Linked DNA regions of Oryctolagus cuniculus. The protein of the gene in region 1 purifies or fractionates together with the protein of each later gene. This does not show direct contact. Links are inferred from orthologs where the notes say so. Each region holds a gene or a part of one and is shown in the gene's direction. Other genes may lie near its edges.

The links.
Region 2: the proteins of FLII (region 1) and LRRFIP2 purify together in Homo sapiens (affinity purification with mass spectrometry; 3 studies listed by BioGRID and IntAct, with this or other methods). This does not show direct contact. The link is inferred for Oryctolagus cuniculus from reciprocal best matches to the Homo sapiens genes FLII and LRRFIP2.

Annotation. Positions count from the first base shown.
Region 1 is NC_091448.1:62,264,676-62,273,726, forward strand, and holds the start of FLII (protein flightless-1 homolog), read left to right. Parts: upstream 1-3,303; 5' UTR 3,304-3,398; coding exon 3,399-3,461; intron 3,462-4,704; coding exon 4,705-4,815; intron 4,816-5,060; coding exon 5,061-5,132; intron 5,133-5,998; coding exon 5,999-6,079; intron 6,080-6,387; coding exon 6,388-6,473; intron 6,474-6,623; coding exon 6,624-6,785; intron 6,786-6,889; coding exon 6,890-6,993; intron 6,994-7,287; coding exon 7,288-7,463; intron 7,464-7,590; coding exon 7,591-7,748; intron 7,749-7,995; coding exon 7,996-8,080; intron 8,081-8,224; coding exon 8,225-8,372; intron 8,373-8,539; coding exon 8,540-8,676; intron 8,677-8,767; coding exon 8,768-8,980; intron 8,981-9,051. Other genes in the region: MIEF2 (mitochondrial dynamics protein MID49), read right to left, coding at 1-479, 607-769, 852-998. UniProt on the Homo sapiens protein: Is a regulator of actin polymerization, required for proper myofibril organization and regulation of the length of sarcomeric thin filaments. It also plays a role in the assembly of cardiomyocyte cell adhesion complexes.
Region 2 is NC_091435.1:173,415,503-173,423,945, reverse strand, and holds part of LRRFIP2 (leucine-rich repeat flightless-interacting protein 2), read left to right. Parts: intron 1-2,473; exon of another isoform or gene 2,474-3,224; intron 3,225-3,958; exon of another isoform or gene 3,959-4,146; coding exon 4,147-4,248; exon of another isoform or gene 4,249-4,500; coding exon 4,501-4,633; intron 4,634-6,371; exon of another isoform or gene 6,372-6,520; coding exon 6,521-6,570; exon of another isoform or gene 6,571-7,587; intron 7,588-8,443. UniProt on the Homo sapiens protein: May function as activator of the canonical Wnt signaling pathway, in association with DVL3, upstream of CTNNB1/beta-catenin.

The DNA of each region.
Region 1 (9,051 bases):
CGCCTTGCGCAGCAGACCCAGCAGGAGGCGGGAGGACAGGTAGCCGCCCACCAGGAAGCGGTCCCAGGGGCTGCTGCCGCGGGGGCGGAACTCCAGCTGAGTCCTGCGCACGGCCCAGCAGCGAGGGTCCCTGGCCACGGTGTCCACGCCGGGCACCAGGCTCCAGAGGCCCGGCTCCAGCGCCAGCGGCACCGAGAGGCGCACGTGGTCCTGGTCGGCGGCCCCGGCCTGCAGCCCGTCGTAGAGCGGCCCGCCGGGCACGAGGGCCCCAAAGGGCAGCTCGGGAAACTTGTTCCGCAGGTAGGCCTGCAGCTCCAGGGCGATGTCGCCGGCCAGCTGCTTGGCCAAGGCCACCTGGGCCTCGGGGATGGCCACGTGGGCCTGCTCGAATGCCAGCAGCTTCTCCTGGAAGGTCAGGCACAGCGGGGCCGGGGGGCTGAGCAGAGGCGGCGGCTGGGGACCGGCGTCCGCGGGCCCCTCTGCAGAGGCAAGGGGGACACGTCAGAGCAGCCCACAATGCACTGCGGGAACCCGACCGCATCCCAGCACCCTGGCCACACAGCTCCAACAGCCTGAGCAGGGACCCGGGCGCAGGCTCCGGCTCACCTGGCGTGGAGGGGGCAGGGGGCCGGCGTGGCTCGGGCAGGCTGAGGGCGGCAGGTGGGGGCCGGGGCTGCTGGTGCGGCGTGGCCTTGAGCAGGCTCAGCTCCGTCCAGCCGTCCCCCTTGGCGTCATCCTCGTCCCGGGGGCCGGTGGCCCTGTCGATGAGCTGCGGGCAGAGCGGCGCTGAGCAGGGCACCTGGCGGCCGGCAGCCATGACCAAGCCCCAGCCCCCGCCAGCCCGGCCTTACCCGCTTCACGGCCAGTGTGGCAATGCCCAGCACAGCCGCGCCGCCCACACCCAGCACCAGGCGGGCGTTGGCCAGGAGGAAGTCCACGGCGCCGCCCAGGCCCTCGCCGCCACGCCGCTTCCCCCGCTTCTGGGAGAACTCCGCCATGGTCCACCTGCAGGGGAGCCGGGGGCGCGGGGTAGCTGCGGGGTGGGGGTGGGGCGGGGAGGGCACCTGGCTGGGCAGGCACAGGGGCTCTGGGGTCCACAAGGAGGAGCTTCTGGAAGATTCCTCGTGAGTCAGGGGCTGCTAGCAGGGCTTCCTGCACGGAGCCGGGGGAGCAGCCACGACCCCTCCCCAAACCGGCCAATAACCCAGCCCCTGGCAAAGGGGGCTCACACGGAGGCCCCTGGCAGAGGGTCCGGGCTGCCAGGAGCCATCATGTAGAAGGGCATTGAGCAGGGAACTCCAAAGATGAAGACCCCAAAGAGAGGGCCCCCTGGCTGTGGCCGGCTCAGCACAAGGTCAGGGTAGGGGATGGGGGGGCAGGGCCTCCTGGCTGTGGCCGGCTCCTCAAGAGGTCGGGGCGGGGTCGGGGGGTGGGGGTTGGCTGCAGGATGCTAAGCCAGATGCAGGCCTGGAGCCACAGCCCAGCTGGTAGGAGGTGAGCAGTGCCCGAGTGGAGGCAGAGAAGGCCCACGCCCACCCTGACCTCGGGCCCTGAGGGTGCAGGGGACGGGTGGCCAAGGGCACCCGGGAGCCTCAGCGTTGGACGGCGAGGTCACGGCCCGCCCTCCTGCTGCGCCCTGGGTGCCCTGCCCCCCCACTGCCCGGGGCAGCTGGAGCCCGAAGCTCTGTGTGACTCAGCCCGGGACACCTGCCTCTTAGCGCCAGACTAAAAATAAGACGGGGCTCCGGCGTCCTGGGGGAGGTCACGGGCCAGCCGGCTGACCCCCGCGGCCCCGGCCACGGACCAGCGCTGCCATCGGCCCCCAGGCCTCCACGCTGCCAAGTGCGTAAAGCACTTGAAATGCCCACCCCTCCAGCGCACGCGCACCTGCCCCAGCGAGGGCTCCGTGCCACCTAAGGGGTGGGGGGCGCGCAGGAACCGAGCAGTTAAAAATAACCCGCAAGCCGCCGGCGCTGGGCCCGGGCTTACCAGGCCGGCGCGGCAGTCCCTCGGTGGGCCGGTTCACAGGCGAGGACAACGGAGGCCTTGGGAAACCCAGTCAAGCACCCGAGCCGGGAACGGCAGGGCCGGGACTCGAACTCGGGGCTCACAGGAATCCTCCCGGGCCCCGCCCCCGGACGTGCGCCACACCTAGGGCTGGGGGACCCGGGATGCGGGTTGTCGGGGAGGCCCCGCCGGGCTCCCAGCCGTACCTGCGTCGCGGCGTCCACACACCGACCGGACCACGCAGCGGGCCCGCCGGGACCCGGCGCCGGAACCCGCCTGCGGATGGAACGTGAAGGACCCGGGCCCCGAAGGCCGAGGCGCTGGCGTAGGCAGACGAGCAGGCCCTAGCTCCAATCGGAGCGCTCGGCTTCTTCAGGGGCGTTCCAAAACACTGCGAGGTTCGGCCAATGAGGGGCCTGCCACGCCCCTTCTCCGCCCTGCGCGCTCCCTCGGAGGCGGGGCTTTCCGGGGGCACTCCGGATTTAAAGGCGCAGGGCTGCATTATTGGGCCCGCAACGTTTGCGTGGTGCCTGCTTGGAGCCCACAGAGGCGCGGGGGATGCGTGCGCGTGTGCGTGTGTGATGTGAGCCTCCCGCGTGGAGGAAGCTGGCTGGGCCCCAGTTTCCTTCCTCTGGCCGGGCAGACGGGTGGTAGCACCTGGTCCAAAGGCCTGCACGCCGACCCCTAAGTCACCTTTGCGGGAGCGCCTTAGCACCTGTCTGCGCGCGGGGTAGGGGGTGTGCCGCCGGCCCCGTGCGTCCCTGGGCCTGCCCTCTGTCCGCCTGGGCCTCAGTTTCCCGTGCCGTACAATGGGGACGTAGGCAGCGCCCCTGGGAAGGGTGGTTTGCATGCGGGCCTTAATGAGAACCACCTGCCACGCACCAAGCACCTGCTGCGTGCTTCGAGCCGCACGTGCGCGCGTGGTCACTCGCTGCCGGCCACCACCTTGGTAGGGTGAGGAAGGTGGGGCCGCCCCGGCTCCGCACGGAGACCGCCGGGGACCCCTTGTGCGCGGACGCAGAGTGCGAGGCCCCCAGAGCGCAAGGCCCCCGGGCCCCGGCGAGGTCCCCAGAGCGCAAGGCCCAGGGCCCCGGCGAGGTCCCCAGAGCGCAAGGCCCCGGGCCCCGGCGAGGTCCCCAGAGCGCAAGGCCCAGGGCCCCGGCGAGGTCCCCAGAGCGCAAGGCCCCGGGCCCCGGCGAGGTCCCCAGAGCGCAAGGCCCAGGGCCCCGGCGAGGTCCCCAGAGCGCAAGGCCCCGGGCCCCGGCGAGGCCCGAGGTGCCGGCGGCGGCGGGCGCGGGCGGGTTAACGGGGCGGAGTCGGCGCTGGCCCAGCCCGCGGCTCCCGAGCCGCCCCCAGCGCCCGGCCGGCCCGGCAGCGAGAGCGGCGCCGCCATGGAGGCCACCGGGGTGCTGCCGTTCGTGCGCGGCGTGGACCTCAGCGGCAACGACTTCAAGGTGAGCGGCGATCCGGGCTCGGCGCGGGCACCACCTCGCCCGCCTCCGGCCACACTGCGGGCGGCGGCCGGGGCTCTGCGGGCCTCCCCACCGCAGCCCGCAGCCGGCACCCCGGGCCTCCGCCCAGCGTCCCCCCGCGGGAAGGCCGAGCCCGAGCGGCGCGGGCCCAGGCCGGGGGAGGGCGTGGGCGCTGCGGGCCTGCGCACCGCCGCCCCGGGGGTCTCACGGCCCAGCCGGCCGCTGACTCAGGGCCGCCGCTGCCTTGGCTGCCCAAGGGCGGGCCCGGAGGCGGCTCATCACCGCCCTGCGCTCCATCCTGTGTGGTCTTGGGCAAGTCACTTCCCCTCTCCCGGGCCTGGGTTTTTCTCATCCGGAGAAGGGACTCGAGTCTACCCTGCGAGTGTAGACTTGCGGTCTGGACGCTCTGGCTGGGGGGAGGTTCTCAATATGGGTAGGGGCGCCCAGAGCCAGAGCCAGGTGGGCGGGGCTTCCGGCCGGTGATGGGCAACCTCTGGCCTGTCCACTTAGGCGTCTCAGGGTGTGGGGCGGAGGCCGGCGGGCTCCTGTCCAGCCTGTGTTGTCCACATCTGTGCTGTCCCATCTCCGTTCCTCGTCCCGACCTCAGCCATCCCCACTTGGGGTCTCCACGCTTCTCCCCTGGGCTTGGGCGGGCCTGAGTCACCAGCTGGGAATGTGGCCGGTGGGGGGAGGGGCACAGCCCCTGGGCACTGGCTGCAGCGGCTGCCCCAGACTCGGCCACGAGGGCTGGGGGGGGGGTGTTGGGGAGGGGAACACGGGGAAGGAAGGAGGTGGCACCCACTCGGGCAGGGTTGGGAGAGGGGGACACAGGGCAGGGGACCTTGCTAGGAGTGGCCAGGGTGCTGAGGGTACGGGGTGGGGGTGGGGTCCCACAGCCCAGGCAGACCCAGAGTATGGGGCCCAGGAATTTGAGCTAAGCTCACCACACAATGGGGGGGCCAGGATATCCCCATTTTGCTTGGCCCCTCCTGGGGCTCAAGGGCAGTAGCAGAGACCCTCTTAGGCCTCCGCTCTGGCCCCTGGAGCCTCCACGGGTAGGGGAGGGGCTTGGGCCAGTAGGGAGGGCTCCCCTGGAGGGGGCGGGGCCTGTGGGGAGGATCTTGTGGTTGTTGAGAGTTGGCTGTGTGGCCTCCCTCAAATGTGCCCACGGGCAGGGGGAGCCCTCTCCCAGGCCAGCCTCAGCACACCCCCACCCCCACCCCAGGGTGGCTACTTCCCTGAGAATGTCAAGTCCATGACAAGCCTACGATGGCTGAAGCTGAACCGCACAGGCCTCTGCTACCTGCCCGAGGAGCTAGCCGCCCTGCAGAAGCTGGTGAGGAGGGGTGGGGTCTGTGGGGAGGAGGGGCGGGGCCTTGGGAGGATCTGGCAGACAGGGAGGGGATGAGCGCCCCGTCCTGGGAGGTGTGCAAGAAGCTGGGTCTGAGCAGGAAGGAGGCTGTGGGGGCGTCCTGGGCTGGCGCTGGCCGTCTGGGGCTGTGCAGAGCAGGGGTGGCAGGTGGGGACTGTGGATACCCCCGCCCCGCCCCACTGAGCCTCCGCTGCCCCGCCCTGGCACAGGAGCACCTGTCCGTGAGCCACAACAACCTCACCACGCTTCACGGGGAGCTGTCCAGCCTGCCTTCTCTGCGGGTGAGTGCGGCGGGTGCCGGACCCCAGGCAGGGCCCGGCCGGCTTCTCTGCCAGGCTCCGGGCTCTGGGGCCCTTTGTCGTGGGTGGACGTGGCGTGGTCCCTGTGGGTGGGGACAGCTCCACGGGTGCCAGGCATGCCGAGTGGACGTCCACGTCCCCCCATGCCTGACGGTGTCGCAGATGAGGACATGGCCACAGGCGCAGGTCACTCGCCCAAGGCCACACAGCCGGGCAGCCGAACAGCTGGAGTCGGGGGGGCGGGGTTTGGCCAGTGGGCGCTCTTCCCTGCTGGATGTTAGACTGCTGGCCGGGCCCTCGGAGCCTCAGGGAGGTGGCCCTGGCCCCGGCTGGAGCCTCAGCCCTGGGAGCTCCCCCGGAGCCAAGCCGGGCTCTGCCACTCCCAGCTGTGTGGCCTGGGACAAGTCCCTTCTGCAGATGGGGTGGCTGGGAGGGCCAGTGGGGACCCCGTGGGCAACCGCACAGCGCTGCGGAGGTGGCAGGGGCGGCCCCGGGGTCGCATGGGTCCCCGCTCTGTCCCCGACCTTAGGGAGGGAAGCATTTCCGGTCAGCCCACGTTGCCCTCTCTTCACTCCAGCCCCCTCCATCTGTCCTAGCCACCCTCACTCCAAACCGCACCCCATCTTCCTGAATGAACAGGAGGGGTGTCTGATCAGAAACATCTGGGGTTTCCGTGCTGGGCTCTGGGGCACATTTGGGTTTTGAAGCGTGAATAGGAGCTCACCGCGGGAGGCTGTAGAGCAGAGACAGGGCAGGCCCAAAGGGGCCCACCTCTGCCTCTGCCTCTGCCTCTTCCCGGGGCGGGGGGTGGAAGCCAGGAAGCAGGGACTCTCGTGGTCTACCCGCAGGCCATCGTGGCTCGAGCCAACCAGCTGAAGAACTCCGGAGTCCCTGACGACATCTTCAAGTTGGAGGACCTTTCTGTCCTGGTCAGTGGCTGCCCGCCCAGCTGCCCCCTGCCAGCCTCTTGGTCCAGTCCCCACCCATCGCGATGGCCCCTGGGCCCACTGTTAGCCCAGTTTACAGACGGGAAGACTGAGGCCGGAGCGGGCCTTGCCCGAGGTCACGCCTGGAGTCCCAGCCCTAGCCCAAACGCCCCTCTGCCCGAGGCCCCAGCCGCTTTGGCCCTGAGACCCCCTCATGCCCTGGCTCTCAGTGCCTTACCTCATCGCCAAGGTTGGCAGAAGCAGGGTGGGGGCGGGGACGCCCCGACCTGGGATTTGGCCCGTCTCCCTAGGACCTGAGCCACAACCAGCTGACCGAGTGCCCGCGGGAGCTGGAGAACGCCAGGAACATGCTGGTGCTCAACCTCAGCCACAACAGGTGCCCGGCCAGCCGCGCGCACGTGCCGGGGGGCGGGGGTGGGGTGGGGACGGGGCTGGAGGGCTGGGGCCGGGGACCTGAGGCCGGGGCTGGGCGTGAGTGTCCCCACCCCGAGGACTCAGGCAGCGCCGTCCCCCGCCCCGCCCACAGCATCGACACCATCCCCAACCAGCTGTTCATCAACCTCACCGACCTGCTGTACCTGGACCTCAGTGAGAACCGGCTGGAGAGCCTGCCCCCGCAGATGCGCCGCCTGGTGCACCTGCAGACGCTGGTGCTCAACGGGAACCCGCTGCTGCACGCGCAGCTCCGGTGGGCGCCCGGCTCGCTCCCCTCCCCGCCCCCGCCCCTGGGGTACACGGGGCGCCCCGCCCCTGCCCCTGACCGCCTGTGTGTGTCACCCACCCCTCCCCCAGGCAGCTCCCGGCCATGACAGCCCTGCAGACGCTGCACCTGCGCAACACCCAGCGCACCCAGAGCAACCTGCCCACCAGCCTGGAGGGCCTGAGCAACCTCGCAGGTGACCCCCCCACCCCCCGCGCCGCCTCCCGTGCTCAGACCCCACGCCCCCTCCCCTCCCCGGGAGAAGGGCACGGTTGCGTTGGGATTGTGGCTGTCCGTCTGTCACAGCCCTGGGGCCACCAGCAGCCGGTGCGGGCCCTTGGTGATCCACTCAGGCTGAGTGGCTTTGTCCAGAGAGAAACAGCTTGGAAAGGTTGTCCCTAGCCTACAGCGACACAGCCCGGGGCTGGCCACCCGGTACCTACTGTGGCCCCCGGCTGGCTCATGCTCCCACGCCCCCTCCCCTGCCCAGACGTGGACCTGTCGTGCAACGACCTGACCAGGGTGCCCGAGTGCCTGTACACCCTGCCCAGCCTGCGCCGCCTCAACCTTAGCAGCAACCAGATCCCGGAGCTGTCCCTGTGCATCGACCAGTGGGTGCACCTGGAGACCCTGAACCTGTCCCGCAACCAGCTCACCTCCCTGCCCGTGCGTCTGGGCCTGGGGCCACGCGGGAGGGCCGGAGGGGAGGGAGACGTTGGGCTGCTGGGCCCCAGCCTGGCCCTGACCGCTCGCCTTCCCCCCCCCCCCCGCCGCTGCCCTGCGCCCCCCGCAGTCGGCCATCTGCAAGCTGACCAAGCTGAAGAAGCTGTACCTGAACTCCAACAAGCTGGACTTCGATGGGCTGCCCTCCAGCATCGGCAAGCTGAGCAGCCTGGAGGAGTTCATGGCCACCAACAACAACCTGGAGCTGATCCCGGAGAGCCTCTGCAGGTGCTGCGCCGGGAGGGGCGGGGCCACGCGGGGGGCGGGGCTACACCGGGGGTGGGGGCCCGAGGCTGCTCCCACCTTCTACAGGGTCACGGTGCCCGCGAACTTGGGCTCCTGGCGCTGAGATGGCCCTCAGGCAGAGAGCAGGGACCCCTGCCCTGCCCTGCCCTGCCCGGTGCTCCTTCCCCGCCCCGCCCGGCCCCGCATCCGTGCCTCCTTCCCAAGGCCCCGGCCAGCTCTGTCCTCCCAGGTGCCCGAAGCTGCGGAAGCTGGTCTTGAACAAGAACCGCCTGGTGACCCTCCCGGAGGCCATCCACTTCCTCACGGAGCTCCAGGTGGGGGCGCCGGGTGGAGGCCACCGTGCAAGGCCCCCCTCCCTCCCAGGGGTGGGCAGACGGGAGCCAGGGCCTGGTTGTGGTGCGGCCGGGAGAGTGGACCCCAGGCAAGGCTGCAGCTCTGTCCCCGTGCCCCGCACCCAGGTCCTGGACGTGCGCGAGAACCCCAGCCTGGTGATGCCGCCCAAGCCGGCCGACCGAGCCGCCGAGTGCTACAACATCGACTTCTCGCTGCAGAACCAGCTGCGGCTGGCGGGCGCCTCCCCTGCCACAGTGGCCGCGGCCGCAGCCGGTGAGTTGGGGGGGTTGGAGGGGTGGGGGCGCCCTGGCCTTTGGGAAGCAGGGGGTTCCTAACGGATGCTGGGATGTTGCCCTGGGGCCCCTGCTTGGCTGGATGCCCGAGGGGGCGTGGCCCAGTCGGTCCCCAGGTGCTCACCCCGCCCCCGCCCCCGCCCCCAGCAGGGAGCGGGCCCAAGGACCCCCTGGCTCGCAAGATGCGGCTCCGGAGACGCAAGGACTCGGCCCAGGATGACCAGGCTAAGCAGGTGTTGAAGGGCATGTCGGACGTGGCCCAGGAGAAGAACAAGAAGCAAGAGGTGAGCAGGGGACCCTGAGGTGTGGACAGCAGGGGGGCGGCCATCCCGGGGGCCCTGACCACCCCGACGCCCGCCCCCTCCCCCTCCCCAGGAGAGCGCGGAGGCGCGGACCTCGGCGGCCAAGGCGCGACGCTGGGACCAGGGCCTGGAGAAGCCGCGCCTGGACTACTCGGAGTTCTTCACGGAGGACGTGGGCCAGCTGCCCGGGCTGACCGTCTGGCAGATCGAGAACTTCGTGCCGGTGCTGGTGGAGGAGGCCTTCCACGGCAAGTTCTACGAAGCCGACTGCTACATCGTGCTCAAGGTGGGGCTCCCTCGCCTGGCCCTGGTGGTGGGGCGGAGGTGGGGGGCGGCGGCCCAGGGAGACTGACCCAG
Region 2 (8,443 bases), on another chromosome or scaffold:
TGGATGCAATGTCCAGAACTGTGCCGATCTGAACCAGGAGCCAAGAGCTTCTTCCAGATCTCCCATGTGGGCATAGCAGCCCAAGGACTTGGAACATCTTCTACTGCTTTCCCAGGCCACAGCAGAGAGCTGGATGGGAAATGGAGCAGCAGGGACTCGAACCAGCACCCATATGGGATGCTATACCACAATGCTAGCCCCTAATCGGCTAGTGTTTAAGTTGGTAATTTTGTGTGGCCCATGAATGATGCTATAAATGTCCAGTGGCCCTTGGCAGAAAAAAGGTTCCCCACCCCGACTGCATCATTTGTCTTTAGTATAATTTTTAAGACTAAATTTAGTGAAGATTAAATGAAGAAACATGTCTGTTTCCAGACTGAAGTTCAGTTTTGCTTAGTTCTTCCTTCACTGAACTCAGGGGTCTTGCCTGCAGCTCTGTGGCAGTTTGAGCAGCAGGTGCCCATAAAAAGGGGAGCATGAAGGACTTTTATCTGTGAGGTGCACCCTAAGCTCTTTTTTTGTTTTTAAAGATTTATTTATTTATTTGAAAGAGTAACACACAGAGGAAAAGAGAGGGAGAGAGGTCTTCATCCGCTGGTTCACTCCCCAGTTGGCCACAACGGCTGGAGCTGCACCAATCTGAAGCCAGGAGCCAGGAGCTTCCTCCGGGTTTTCCCACATGAGTACAGAGGCCCAAGGACTTAGGCCATCTTCTACTGCTTTCCCAGGCCATAACTGAGAGCCGAATTGGAAACAGAACAGCCGGGACTCAAACCGGTGCCCAGCTAGGATGCCGGCCCTGCAGGCAGCAGCTTCCCTGCCATGCCACAGCGCTGGCCCCGCATAAACTTTGTGACTAAGATGTTTGTGCCCCAATGCAGTTATGTGGAGGGTTAACCTATTGCCCCAAAGCTCAGCCCATTGTGTCTATCCTTTTGGTGTCTTTGATGTAGTGTTTGAGGTTGGGTCAAGGATAAAGTTATTTAGATCTCCACAAACATATACTTTTTGCCCTAAAAAAATTACTGTAGGAACTATTGTTGCATACAAACAGAAGGATGATAGTTATATGGTCAGGTAATACAGAGGCTTTCAGATTATAAAGCATTTTAGTACTCTTCAGACTTTGTGGTAAACTGGGCAGATTCATAGGATATATTTTGTTTTCCCATCTATGATTTTGGGAAGATGAAATTAAAAAGTTCAAGAGTAAAAATAAAACCCAGTGGTATAAGATGTGGAAGAAGAGCAAATATGCCGTGGCGTTTGCTGGAATTCTTAGTTTCACGTTGGTTTGTTGCTTTAGAGGTGTTTTGCATGTCATGGTGTTGTTTCATGGCGAGCATGCTGTGGTGTGGTGGTGCATGGCGTGAGCGCATGCCGCTGTCAATAACCAGGAATATCTAACCCAGCGGAGAGGAACGTAGTGTCAGTGGGTGGTCTAGTACTCTGCCTTGTTCTGCAGGTGTTTTCTTTGTTATTAATGTAGTGGAATCTCACAGCTACAGTGGCGTCTTTTTTTTTTTTTTTTTTTTTTTTTTTTTTTATCTTTGACAAGCAGAGTGGACAGTGAGAGAGAGAGAGACAGAGAGAAAGGTCTTCCTTTATCATTGGTTCACCCTCCAGTGGCCGCCGCGGCTGGCATGCTGCGGCCGGCGCACCATGCTGATCCGATGGCAGGAGCCAGGTGCTTCTCCTGGTCTCCCATGGGGTGCAGGGCCCAAGCACCTGGGCCATCCTCCACTGTACTCCCGGGCCACAGCAGAGAGCTGGCCTGGAAGAGGGGCAACTGGGACAGAATCCGGCGCCCCGACCGGGACTAGAACCCGGTGTGCCGGCGCCGCAAGGTGGAGGATTAGCCTAGTGAGCCGCGGCGCCAGCTACAGTGACGTCTTAGAGTAAATGCCTATGCCAGAAACTCCAGTTATTAGCTTGCAAGCAGACCTGAGACACATCCAACGGTGTGAAAATAAATCATGGAAAGGACATTAGATGTTGACCTTGTGGTTTGGATAAGGAAAGAGGGGACTCACCCTGTGGACTATTTTTTCCACCATCAGCTGGTCTGATAGGAACATGATGCAGCCTTCGTGGGACTGGATATAAAAAACTGTTTGCACGAGCTTTGAAACCAAAACTAACTGGATCAATTTTCTGGCATTTCTAAAACTTACTGTGACTTTGGACAAAAACAAACAAATTCGTCTTTTTCAGTCTCAGTTTTCCAGTTTGTAAAATAAGGATAAGACATAGTAGTACATTATAGGAAATGTCAAGGAGGTGATATGTGTAAGGGAGAAATTGTATCTGATATATATGATACAGACATATATTATGTCTGTGATATAATTTATGCCACATACGTGGTACTTGTTACCACTCCTTCTTTGTTTATTCTCAAATTGGTTGCAGAATGATTGTAATGATATTTTAAAATATTCAACTATTCAGCTGTCAGTTAATGAAGCAGTTGTCCTTTTTTTAAAGATGCATTTATTTTACAGGCCGAGTCAGAGAGAAAGAGTGACACACATACACACACACACTCCTTCCATCCACTGGTTCACTTCCCAGTGGCCAGGACAGCTAGGGCTGGGCCAAGCCAAAACCAGTAGCCAGGAGCTTCATCTGCGCCTCCCCCTTGGATGACTGCTGCTCTCCCTAGGCACGTTCTCCGAGAGCTGAATCAGACGAGGGGCAGCCAGGACAAGAACCAGTGTTCATATGGGATGCTGGTGTCACGGGCGGTGGCTCTATATGCTAAGCCACAGCACCGTCCCTGCCCCACTTCTAAACCCAGTCATCGACAGAGAAAAGTTACTTGTTGTAGTTCATCTTGACTTATTGCAAATGCTGGCAGAAAAGATTAAGTATATGAAAAATATACTAGCTCAGCTGTCAGATTCCTGCACACACTGCTTGGCATGGTTTGAAGTGTGGATATTTTATCACATAATCAAAGGAAACTGATATCTCACGGATCACCAAAGCATGTTCCTGCCTCACTGTCCTCCTCAGCCCAGCAGTTGTGGGATGAGGACGTGCAGGGAATTCTCGTGTTTTTTGCTTAGTTTGTTTTGATTTGAGTGGTAGGGTGTGTGAGCAGCAGTGCTGCCGTCCGCTGGTTCACTCTCCAGATGCCCGGGAGCCTGGACTTGTTCCAGCTTTCCCACGTGAGTGCTGAGAACTCCGGTACTCGAAGCATCAGCGCTGCGTCCCAGGCCCTGCATTAGGAGGAAGGTAGAGTCAGGAGCTCTGACGTGGGGCGTGGGTGCCCGAACCAGCTTAGCCGCAGGCCTAAATTCTGCCCCCGTGTCGGGAACTTTACAGCTGGGAACGTCAGCCTGCTTTTCCTGAGCCTTCCCTGCTGTCTGGGGCACTCTGGCAATGATTGTGCTGAGTCCACCTCTCAGCCTCTGGCCGTGGGATGGTGCTCGTGTTGCCCTCTGGTTTTTAAATGAGGACACGGAGGCATGGCTGAACTAAGTATGTGCCAGGACCGAGATCTTGACACTAAAACCCATAATCTGTCCCCGCCACAGCTGGGCTCTATTCATTTTGTTTTTGTTTTTCAAAATTTGAAAATGTATCAGAAAACCAAGTGAATCTTAATTGTATTTAACTAAATTCACAGAAGTAGATTCTTGAGAATCCTTTTGAAGAGGAGTTATTTTAAATTAATTGGTATTTGAGTATTTTGCTGTAGTATTTGCATATAATCATACAGTCAATATTTAATTAAAATACCTTGTATATACTATTTTCCCCTGAATCTCTAATTTTTTTTAAATCAGGTATATTCTTGAATAAGTGATTTTACTTAAACATAACATATTTTGTTCACCAAGTGAAAATGTGCTGAGGAGGTCAGTAAGGGAATACTTTTAACTCTTGCTACTTTGTTCATCTTCCTTTTGCTTTAAATTTTTTTAATGACTGGAAGGGAACCTGTTCTTACCAAATTGCTGCACGAGGACCACTTCATGTGTAGACTCTTCTGTGTTTCTTCTCTCCCTGACTGCTGGTTTCCAAGCTGTAACTGCTTCCTTGCTTTTTGATGCCCTTGTCTCTGCTGGTTGGAATTAGTTACCTTTCACTTGCTCTTTTCTGTGCCATTCTTTCCCTCGCTACCCCGCCTGAAACCAGGCCCTAGAGAAACAGAAGGAACACGCTGCCTGCCTCAGGGATGAGCGCGATGCGCTCCGAGAGGAGCTGGCTGACCTGCGGGAGACAGTGCAGACCGGAGAGGTACGTTAGCATGAGCCCGCAGCTGTCCTCTGTCTGTCTTCTCTCGTCCTGGCGTCTCTCGTGCCAGTCCACCAGCAGCCTGTTCCCCCGTTCAGACCTGGTAGGAGCGTGTTTTTCCGCAGAGCTCTTCTTCACATGCCGATTCTAAGCAGGTTGTGCTGTGGCAAGCGTGTGTTGTTGCAGAGTGACCTCACAGCGCTTACTGCTTGGCGTGCGCATCGTTTGTGATGGTGGGTTTTTTCTTTCCCACAGAAACATGGCTTAGTTATAATTCCCGATGGCACTCCCAATGGTGATGTCAATCACGAACCAGTGGTTGGAGCCATCACCGTTGTGTCTCAGGAAGCTGCTCAGGTCTTGGAGTCAGCAGGCGAAGGGCCACTAGGTAAGACACTGCCTGTTCTGGTGACTTGGGTTAATGTCGCCCTGTCGGGCTTCCAGCTTGTTGTCAACATCCCAGCTTGGAAAACGCAGACAGCGCAAGGCCTGAGACTGACCTCGACGCTTCACTGGAAGAATCTGGGCACTAGCACCTTTGGCCTTGGGGAAGTAGCACCTGGGTCCCGGTAACTGTGGCTGTGGGTCCTCTGGGCAGAAGCACCGTGGGTTTACATGAACTGCCTTTTCGCTTCTGCAGACTTCCTGCAGAGACCGTCTAGCACTCCCGTCCCAGGGAAGCAGTGGGCTGGCAGAACCCTTCGCATGTGTGTTTTAAATGTCTTCTTCCACTGCGTACCCCAGAGCTCTGTAGCCCTTTGCCTGCACATTTCTTAATGCACAAAACAGAGGACAGGAAGACAGACGTCAGAGGAGTGGGACATCCAGAACACGGTTTCTAAGCCTGTGACAGTCTAAGCCTCTTAGCCTCTCATCCAACCCTTTTGGGGTCTAATGATAGCTGCCCCTGTCAGCCACAAAGGGGGCCAACCGTTGCAGCCCAGGACCCTACACCAGAGGAAGAAAAACGACACAGATACTGTGTCATCACCTCACTTTTGTTTATGAAGAAGCAGTCTTCCCCAGCTCGTGTTCATGTATGCATAGGTTGCCTGGAGGCGTATGAGACACTAACAGTGGAGGCTGAAAACCATTTGAAAAGTCAGCAGGCACATTCTGTGATGTGCTCAATCCTGAAGTTTGACTGTAGAGCGCTTCAGTGAAGCAGAGAGTGTGCCGAGCGCGAGGGAGCTAGAGAGTGGACCTCTCCATGTGTGGAAGATGCCGGAGAAACCAGACTCACTTTGGCCCTGATCCTGACTGGTGGTGGGGCTTGGTTGGCCAAGTGTCAGCTGCTGCTTTAACTGAACTCCTGGTGTTTGCTCAGCCCAGGGGGCCTATTTTAATGCAGGCTTGTGAAGAAGCAACCCTTTCGTCTGACAGGCCAGGAGCCAACCCTCAGCGTCCTGCTTCCAAACCTCAGATTCGCCCTTGGACCACATCGGAGAGTCGGTCCCCCCCCCTCCCTCTGCTGGCTTTGTGGGACTTGGCCATTTGCAGCGTTGTATTCCTCTGTTTTCTTTAGTCCAGCTCCCTCTTCTTCCTGTGCCTTGTCCCACTCCCACCCTCTGTCTGCTTTATTTATTTATCTATTTTAAGATTTCTTTATCTGAAAGAGTTACACAGACAGAGAAGGAGAGACAGAGAGGTCTTCCATCTGCTGGTTCACTTCCCAATGGGCCACAACAACTTGAGCTGCGCTGATCCAAGCCAGGAGCCAGGAGCTTCTTCTGGGTCTTCCACGCGGGTGCAGGGACCCAAGGCCTTGGGCCATCTTCTACTGCTTTCCCAGGCCATAGCAGAGCTGGATCAGAAGAGGAGCAGCCGGGACTTGAACCGGTGCTCAAATGGGATGCTGGTCCTGCAGGCAGCGGCCCTACCTGCTACAGCTCCGGTCCCCTCTGTCTACTTTCAAGTGCTTTGATTGCCCTCGCTGAGTGAGGGAGGGCTTGAGCTTGGGACGGCACCCATGGCATTTGAGTTGCCTGCGTGCTGGTGAAAGCATGCAGATTTTTAAAACACGAAGCTTCTCTCTTTTGTACTTTGGCTTGTCGTTAAGAAAGTGGGAAAATGTTTTGGGGAGCAAATGTATTTGGTGCCCCAACAAATTAAGTATTCCTCTGTAATTGCATTAGAGCCTTTATTTCTTTGATATTCAGAGCTGTAATGTAACTGATCAGATAATACTTGCTGTTTATGAATTTGAAGAATTATTTTTCATACAAATTTATTCTTCATTACAAATTTAGTTCACAACCTTTTACATTTGTTTTAGATGTAAGGCTACGAAAACTTGCTGGGGAAAAGGAGGAGCTACTGTCACAGGTAAGAAGATTCTTACTCGGAGATAATACTAAGTTTAATGACATTATATTGTAAAATGTTGGCCAACTGAAATGTTTTTTAGAAAGAATTGTGCTTATTTCAAACGTTGATATTCGAGTGAGATTTAAAGGATAAAAAAATTCTTGTTTTGCTTCCCGTTTGTTAAATTTAAAGATGTTCAGTCTAATAACTTCTGTGGTTCTGCCAAGTTTGCTGTGAAGACAGCAGCCTCCTGGAGGGATCCTTCTCCGTCCCCCTGACCATGCCTGCTCCATTCCTTAGTCTGATTCTCTGGGTGTGTGCCGTCCTCGGGTAACTCTGGAACGTGACTGTTGTGTTTCGGGCATTCTCTGTGGACATCCCTCTGGGGAGACGAGCTTAGCCGTCTTTCCTCTCCGATCCCTGCCATGTGTCTCTCCCGCTGCCTTCTGCTGCTAATGAAGGAAGTGCCATTCCAGGCTGTGTATGTCGTTAGAACTTTTCAGCCAGCTCCTAGGGGAGCCGTCCTGCGTTCTGAGCCGCCTTTCTCCTCCTTCACAATCACTCATTTTCTGTGAGGTGAACACCGTCTTTCCACTTGCCTGGTGCTCCACCTGCACGCCACTCACTCACCGCAGAGGCGGCAGCAGCAGCTTCCATCCGCCTGATGTCTGCCGAGGCATCCGGTCATTCTGCTGGTCCCGGGTGTTGCGTCTTGGAGCAGCTGACTCCCGCTCAGACTGACGGCCTGCCTGGTGCAGGGTGGGTGGCATCACTGTGGGCACCCAGGGGTTTCTCCTGCCTGGGACTGAGGTTCGCTTCCCCCTCCTCACCGTTACGCCCTGTTTATTCTCGTGTTGGTACAGCTTCCAGGAACTTCCTGGGAAACGGGCACGTGGGCTGTGAGTCTCAGGACTGCAGGCCTGGAAGGCTCTTCACATTCCCCCGGGTAATCGTCCGGCTGACTACAGGATTCTGGGTTGTGGTCATTTTTCCTTCAGAGGACATTTCTTCATGGTCCTCTTGCTTCTAGTATGACTGTTGAAAATTTCAAGGACATTTTAAATTCCTGAGCTTTTGGATGTGACCTGTTTTCCCCCTTCTGGAAGCTTCTATCCTATCGTCTTGTCTCACTAGTGTTCCAGAATCGCACAGTGATGTGGTTGCAGGTTCCATGCTTGGCGCTGGGCCCTGTCAGTTTTGGGAACTCTTGTCCTTCAGTTCTGGGGCAGTCCCTGGAATGATTTTGTTCCTGATTTTTCTCCTGTGCTCTGTTACTTCTCTCTGGAACTGCTGTTTGGTCATTCAACAAGTGTTGATTAAGATTCTACTTTAACAGGCAGTGTTCTAGGCACTTGGCCGACTGCAGTGAATAAATCAGCTAGATTGAAAATCCTGGGTGGGTGTTCAGCATCGTGTTAGGACGCCTGTTTAGACGCCCGCGTCCCACGTCGGGAGCACCCGGGGCAGTGCCGACTCTGCTAAGGCGGGAGCCTGCGTTAGGAGGGGCAGTGGTGATGGCCCACATGCTGGGTTCCCACCACCCACATGGGCGTCCTGGGTTGAGTTCTGAGCTCCTGGGTGAGGAGGGGGAGTGAGAGAGACAGTAAGGGCAGGCCTGCATGAGGAGGGGGAGTGTGAGAGACAGTAAGGACGGGCCTGCATGAGGAGGGGGAGTGTGAGAGACAGTAAGGACGGGCCTGGGTGAGGAGGGGGAGTGTGTGAGAGAGACAGTAAGGACGGGCCTGGGTGAGGAGGGGGGAGTGTGAGAGAGAGAGACAGTAAGGATGGGCCTGCATGAGGAGGGGGAGTGTGTGTGAGAGACAGTAAGGACGGGCCTGCATGAGGAGGGGGAGTGTGTGTGAGAGAGACAGTAAGGACGGGCCTGCATGAG